Oryctolagus cuniculus: one gene and its partner. The protein of the gene in region 1 interacts with the protein of each later gene in a pairwise test. Links are inferred from orthologs where the notes say so. Each region holds a gene or a part of one and is shown on either strand. Other genes may lie near its edges.

Region 1 (3,813 bases):
TCCATTTATTTCTTTGAGTTTTATGCAAAGTAAATCATTATCTGCTAATATATTACAGCTTATTAGAGTTATTTCAAAGGACTGTCCAAATTGTATGTGTGTGTGTTTGGTGTGTTTTTGTGTCGCTGTGTTTATCAGTGAAGCCCAGAGTTAATACCTGACAATCATGTTTTAGTGTGATATTGCTTGGTTGTTTTTGAAAGAATACCTATATAATCTTAGCTTTCATCTGTGTACAGGAAGATTTGGTAGATATTGTTGATACTCGAATTCACCAATTAGAAGACTTAGAGGCTACTTTTGCTGATTTGTGTGATGGTGATAATGAAGAAACAGTACAAAGATGGGCTTCAAATCCTGGGTAAGACCCTTGCATGTTTTCCCCCAACTTTATTAGCTTTCAGTACTAAGTATACTCCTAAATTTGCTATAAAAATTGCTTTGTTAAAATTGGTGTTAAATTTCAAATGGATTTACTATCAATAGTTAGCATTTATTTTTTCCTCTGTGCCCTCTGTCTATAAAATTTTTCCTTACATTATCTCATTTATTCCTCAACAACAACCTTATGGTTTTATTATTTTATGTACATTTAGTAGATGTGAAGGAAAAAGCACAGAGATTAAGTATGTCACTCATAATAAGTAGTCATGCTTTCAGTTGTCATTCAATAGCTACCCCTAAATATAAAATAATAAGCTAGTCTTTCAAAGGATTAAAGATGAATATATAGATAGTCCCTGGTATATAAAAAGTAAGAAAAAATTTTCAAAAGAAAAGTAATTGCCTTGACAAATAAATTATAATATGGAAATTAATCTCCTTTTAAGAATAATGCAACTACTGATAGAAGAGCTTATTTTCAAAGCATTCATGACATGAGGAAACAGGATTTGGATGCTCAGTTCTTCATCAGGTCAATTACTTGACCGATTCTTTCATTGTTAACATAGCATGAAAGTAGAAAGAGAAAATTTCTTTTAGAGTGAAAACCATTGGTATTAAAGCTGGCATGAAAGAATATATTAATGTTAATATTGTAGTTAGTTTTCTTTAAAATAATTCTATAGATTATGTAAACTCAGAAGGCCAGAAAACTAAAATAAAATAGTCAAACTCTTTGTCTCCTTGAACATAGAAAGACCACAACTAGTTTGTTTGTTTGTTTGTTTGCTTTTTGACAGGCAGAGTTAGACAGTGAGAGAGAGAGAGACAGAGAGAAAGGTCTTCCTTCCGTTGCCTCACCCCCGAAATGGCCGCTTGGGCCGGCGCGCTGCGCTCATCCAAAGCCAGGAGCCAGGTGCTTCCTCCTGGTCTCCCATGCAGGTGCAGGGCCCAAGGACTTGGGCCATCCTCCACTGCCTTCCCAGACCACAGCAGAGAGCTGGACTGGAAGAGGAGCAACCGAGATAGAATCCGGTGCCCCAACCAGGACTAGAACCCGGGGTGCCAGCACTGCATGCGGAGGATTAGCCAAGTGAGCCACGGCACCAGCCCACAACTATTTTAAAATTGATCTCCCACAAACCTAACTAATGATTCTCTACAGTGTAAACAGAAGGAAGAAATCAGCTGTAAGACAACAATAAAAAATATGAAGTTAAAATCACAATACTTTAGACAAAAATTAATGGCCACTAAAATTTTTCATGTTAGTTATTGAAAACAATTCATCAGGTCTCCAGTAGATTACAGAGAAAATTGGAACAGCCTTTGGAGAGGAATCATGTGGCTAAAAGGTAAAGTGTATGAGTGAGAAATACCTTCTTTTGCTATGTGCATATTATCACCTTTTCAAAATATGCTTTGTAATTTCAGCTCAAAAATTTCAGAAACATCTGTGGTTTTTAAATATCATAAACTTTATTATCACCATGGAAAACAGTGGTATGGAAGAATGACTGATAATAATTTGTTCACATTAGTGAATGTTGGCCAGGTACAGTTCATAATCTTTCTTTTTGGTGTAGGGAGCTAGTTCTAAAAATGATACCCTCTTTTTTGAAATTATGATGGAAGAAGGAGATACAAGTCACAGGACATGAATGTTCCTAGAAATATTAAAAAGAATCCACCATTTCAAGATTTCATGAAGCCTTAAGCCAAGTTTTAAATGTAATAACAACAGAATAGGCCTGGAAACCTTACAGTCCTGAATGTAGCCCGGAGACAGGGCCACCTTGCACTGTAACCTAGGTGCCTGTTGAACATGCCCAGTTATCTCATCATCTCCTGCAGGTAGTTCCACCACAAACAGGAAGATATGTTAAGACTGCAACAGTGGTGAGTTTATATTGTCTCTGAAATTGGAAGGAGAAAGAGCAACACAAAGGAAAATTAAGTGAGACAGTAAGAAAAGTCCCCTCCAATCAGCTATCACTCTGGGGGTAGGAGTGTTCACTGTGCCTAAGGAAGTGAAGTGGTGGTTAAGGTTCAGAAGCCCAAGGAAGGAATAATAGGGCAACTAGACAGACAGGTCTTTGTGTCTTCTTGGTTCCCCCCCCCGCCAACAAATTAGTGGATATTGGTGGAGAAGGCATTAAAATACCACGAACATTAGTCAGTTTATCAGAGATTCCAAAGACTTCTACCTAAATTAAGTAACTTGAAAGTACCACTATTACTGTATTAGATAGAATGGAATTTTTCTGATTATAATTATATATTGATATACATTGCTCTCATTTATCTTTAACTTTTGAGAAATAGTGTTTTTCATCACAGTATGCTAAAGGCACTTGATTTTCCTGCTGACCAAAATAGTTTTTAAGTGCAGGCCTTCTGACACAGCAGGTTAAGCTGCCACCTGCATGCCGGCATCCCGTATCAGAAGACAAATTCAAATTCCTGACTACTAGGATTCCAATCCAGCTCTGTGCTGACGTGCCTGAGAAGGCAGCAGATGATGGCCCACATATCTGGGGCCCCTAAACCCGTGTGGGAGACCCAAGTGGAGCTGTCCAGGCTCCAAGCTTTGGCCTGGCCTGGCCCAGCACTTGTTGTTGGCAGCTATCTGGGGAATGAATCAGAGGATCCAAGATCTCTTTCCCCGCCCCCACCCCAGCCCTCCCCCACCACCACCACAACTCTCCCTTGCCTCCTCTCCCTATCAATCTGCGTTTCACATAAATAAAATCTTTTTTAAGAAATAATTTTTAATATAAGAGCTTCTCATTTCTAGAGAAGAAAACATCATTTTCTTCAGTGATTGTTTTCAACTTTTAACACAATCTGCAATTTTTTACATAAGAAAATGGTAGGGAACATTTATAACAGCTTTATTTTTCATTTCCCAATCACCATATGAAACGTTCCGAATGGTAAATGTTAAGTATAATGTGTTACTTTGCTATCGTAATTTTAGTTTAAGTGGTTGTGATGTTTGATTGAATAGGGTGGTTTTTTTTTCCAGAATGGGATCACTAGTTCCACTTGTACAGAGTTTAAAAAAACGAATGGAAGTGCCTGACTATGAAATGGTAAATATTTTTATATTAAGTTATGTAAAATTGACCCATTTTATATAAAGGCAGTTTTCTGAGTAGAAAACTTTGCTTTTGTAAAGATGGTTTGTTTTATTTGTATTTCTCTGAAGTCTAAATGAATTCTTAAGAAAAAGCATAAGTGAAAAACACATACTTTTAGAAGCCAGAATACGGTTAACTATGACATATTTGAGTTCCAGCTTTCAAAACAAAAGTTGCAAAATGACAGCCTGTGAGCGACTTGTAGCTTTCAAATTTCTTTGGTAGTAAAACTGAAACACCACTCATTTAAAATTAAAACACATATGTAGATACCAATAGGTTGTCA
Region 2 (3,721 bases), on another chromosome or scaffold:
CCCAGCCCTGGCCATTGTGGCCATTTGAGGAGTGAACCAGCAGATGGAAGATACCACTTTCTGTCTCTATACCTGCCTTTCAAGTAAATACATACATCCACCCCAGTCCCCCCCGCCCTGTCCCGCTCCAACTCTACCTCCGCCCAGGCTCCTGGGTCCTGTACCCGCCCTCAGCCCTTCCCTCCCTTCGCCCCCCTGTGGCCTCTGGGGTCCTGCTGAGCACGCAGAAGCCCCCTGCCCGCCCCCGGCGCCACTCTCGCACGTGCCGTTGTGGAGGCGGCCCATCCCCCGCGCGCCCTCCTTGTTTGGTGGGACCTGGGTGTCACACGAGAGGAGCGGCCACCATCAGGGGCTTAGTGCTTTGGCCCGGCTGGCCCCTCTGCCGCCGGCTGGCCCTCCTGTGTCACTGTTCAGCCTTTCGGAGCTGTTAACAAAATGGGGAGGGGGCCGATGTGGCTCGGCGGCTCTCGAAGTCGGAGTCTTGGCTGCTCCGCCTCTGATGCAGCTCCCCGCGAAGGGGCGTGGGTAAACAGCAGACGATAACCCAAGTGCTGTGGCCCCTGCCACCCGCGTGGGAGACCTGGGTGGTGTTCCTGGTGCCTGGCACGGCCCTGGCTGTTTTGGCCACCTTGTGGGGGGATGAGAACAGATGGAGGCGCATGGTTGCTCTTTCAAATATACAAAATGCCGGAGACAGGCTCCTTTTATAAAGAAAGATTCACTTAGCTCAGTGTTTTGGAGGCGACAAGTGGTGCGGGCTCTGTTGAGGGCCTCGGGGTGCGTGGTGGGTGCCTGGGCTGTGCAGGAAGTGGAGAGAGACTTCCAGAACTCACTCCAGAGGCTGGCACTCCCTTCCTATCCGGGGCAGAGCCCTCAGTGACCCAGGAACCTCCCCCAAGCCTGCCTCTTAAAGGTGCCACCTGCTGATTTTTTTTTGCATTATTTTCATTCTGATTTGAAAGAGAGACACACGGATCTTCCATCTGCTGGTTCACTCCCCCAAATGCCCACAACAGCCAGAGCTGGGCCAGGCTGAATGTAGGAGCCTGGAGCTCCACCCGGGTCCCCGGCATGGGCGGTAGGGACCCAAGTAGTTGGGCCGTCTTCCCCTGCCTCCCAGGGTGTGCGTTAGCAGGAGGCAGGATCAGGAGTGGAGGAGCCAGGACTAAAACCAGGCGTTCCTATGTGGCATGTGCCTGCCCCTCCACACACACACCCCTTTTGGGGGAAGATTTATTTCATTTATTTGAATGGCAGAGTGACAGAGGAAAAGATCTTCGAATGGCTGGTCCACTCCCCTAAAGGCCACAGCAGCCGGGGTTGGGCCAGGCTGAAGCCAGGAGCTCCATCCGGGTCTCCCACGTGGGTGGCGGGGGACCAAGCACTTGGGGGCCATTTTCCGCTGCTTGTCCAGGCACTTGAGCAGGGAGCTGGATCGGAAGCAGCGCTCTGGGATGGGATGCCAATGGCTTACACTCCCACTGCGCCGCAACCCTGGTACCCCCCGCCCCACCAGGCTGGGCACCAGCACGTGACCCCTGGGGGGACGGAACCAGAGCCCAGCGCAGTGCCTGTGTCTTCCTCCTGGGAGTCCCACAGCCTCTCTATCTTACACATGGGCGGGGTCACAGATCAGTGCGGGAGCGGGGTTACAGCCAGGGCCCCCCCCCCCCCGCAGCCCTTAAACCACCCTGGGGCCCTGCCAGGCCCTCTTCCCAGCCTGCTTCCTGGATCCCGCAGCTGGTGGGCTCCCGGGTGCTGCAAGCCCCCCTCACGCCCACCCTCCCCCACCCCCACAGTCTCACCCACCCGCGGACATGGGACGCCGGAAGTCCAAGCGGAAGCCGCCCCCCAAGAAGAAGATGACGGGCACCCTGGAGACCCAGTTCACCTGCCCGTTCTGTAACCATGAGAAGTCCTGTGACGTGAAAATGTGAGTGGGGGCTGGGGCACCCAGGCCTCCCCGCGCCTCCCTGGCTGGGGTCGGGGGTCTGGGGTTACCGCCACAGGTGCGGGGCTCCTTCACTCACCAGCCCCCCGCCCCCACCCCCTTCCAGGGACCGTGCCCGAAACACTGGAGTCATCTCTTGTACCGTGTGCCTAGAAGAATTCCAGACACCCATCACATGTATCCTTGGAAAACGGGCTGTTTGGTGGGGACGGGTGGGCAGGCAGGGCTGCCCAGCCCAGGGTGGGCTCAGGGGGTACCTGGCCCTGCTGTGTGTGCAGGTGCAGGGCCTCAGCTACGCAGTGGGAGGGGCCTGGCTGACATTGGGGTCAGCAGTGCAGGTGCCTGGGAGGGAACAGTGGCCACCGCCACCGGTCGCCCTTGACCCCCGCGTTTCAGATCTGTCAGAACCAGTGGACGTGTACAGCGATTGGATAGACGCCTGCGAGGCGGCCAATCAGTAGCCACACAGAGGACCCACCCCCCTCGGCGGGCTGCCTGCCGCAGACTCATCCAGAGACATTCCAGGGGTCCGGGGTGTGGGTCCGGGCTGCTACCGCCCTCCGTGTGTGTGACTGTGTGTGTGTGCGCGCACGGTGGGCATGGGTGGCCACGAGGCTGGCCCTGCCGTGCGGCTCGAGCTGAGGGCTTGCAGGGCCCGAGGGCCCGGACTGGCCTCACTTGGCCCCTAGAGCCGTTGACCCTCCCCTTTCTCCGCCTCCAGGCTCTGGGGCGCTGGCTCCTCAGTGGGCAGGGGAAGCCCACAGACCCGGGGTGGGAGCTCTGTAGCCTCCGTGGCTGCCTCACCAGCACCTGGCCCCTCCGAGCCGGGCTCTCCCTCCCCCTCCTTCCTCCATCCCCCTCCCCCTTCATCCCCCCTCCCCCCATCCCGGTGCTTGTGGCCCAGGCTCCACAGCCCCCATTCTCCAGTCCCTTGTTGGGCCCAGCGGGGCAGGGAGCCGGCTCCCCTGTGCCGCCCTGGAAGCCCCATTTCCCGTTCAGTAGCTTTTGAGAGGAGGCAGGGGCTGGGGTGGGGACAGCCGTCAGTCACAAGTCCTTAAATAAAAGGCGCTGATGGAGATTCCTGACTTCTTGGGGTGTGCACCTGCCGCGGCACGAGAGGAGGGAGGGGCTGTGCTCAGATGCGTGGGGCTTGCCAGGACTTGAAGCTGTCCTGTGTCGTGTTTGCTCTCTAAGTGCTCAGGGGGACCTGGGCGCTGCTGGGTGCAGGGGCCCCCATGGCCAGGCGCTCACAGTGGGAAACGGGGCAGAATGAAGGTGGTGAGGGGAGCCTTCTTAGAGGGCTGCCTGCAGAGGTGGCGCTCAATGGCCCGTGCTTGCCTGCCTCTGGAGTGCACCAAAACCCTCCAGACCTGCAGGACGGTGGGGGTCACTGGCCCAGGCCCTTATGTCCAGCAGGTGGCGCCACAGAGCCAAGACCCAGGAACGTGGCTGCTCAGCCACGATCTTAGCAGACCGGGGGTCCAGTCTGAGGGATGCGGGAGCAGGGGAGGGGCTTCAGGAAGCCGCAGGGGTGTGGAGAAGTTTTGGAGTGCGGGGCGGGGCCCCCAAGGCTGATGGCGAGCCCCTGGGGGCTGCGTCTGTCCTCAGGGGGTCTCGTGGGTCACAGGATCCCAGACCCCCAGCAGCCTGGGCAGACCCAGCTCCTGCACCTGCCGGGTGCTTGTCACCAGGCTCTGGTCACCAGGCCGGGCTGCTGGGTCTGCCCTGTGCTCCCTGCAGCCCACCCCTCCCCGTCCCGAGACCCCAGGT

Evidence for each region.
Region 2: the proteins of C14H5orf22 (region 1) and ELOF1 interact in binary tests that used the Homo sapiens proteins (3 or more experiments, as listed by UniProt). The two-hybrid records come from large-scale screens. The link is inferred for Oryctolagus cuniculus from reciprocal best matches to the Homo sapiens genes C5orf22 and ELOF1.

The regions. Positions count from the first base shown.
Region 1 is NC_091445.1:57,762,156-57,765,968, forward strand, and holds part of C14H5orf22 (UPF0489 protein C5orf22 homolog), read left to right. Parts: intron 1-239; coding exon 240-361; intron 362-1,677; exon of another isoform or gene 1,678-1,739; intron 1,740-2,238; exon of another isoform or gene 2,239-2,283; intron 2,284-3,412; coding exon 3,413-3,479; intron 3,480-3,813.
Region 2 is NC_091447.1:66,342,244-66,345,964, forward strand, and holds the end of ELOF1 (transcription elongation factor 1 homolog), read left to right. Parts: exon of another isoform or gene 1-83; intron 84-1,799; coding exon 1,800-1,933; intron 1,934-2,057; coding exon 2,058-2,128; intron 2,129-2,347; coding exon 2,348-2,412; 3' UTR 2,413-3,029; downstream 3,030-3,721. UniProt on the Homo sapiens protein: Factor involved in transcription-coupled nucleotide excision repair (TC-NER), a mechanism that rapidly removes RNA polymerase II-blocking lesions from the transcribed strand of active genes.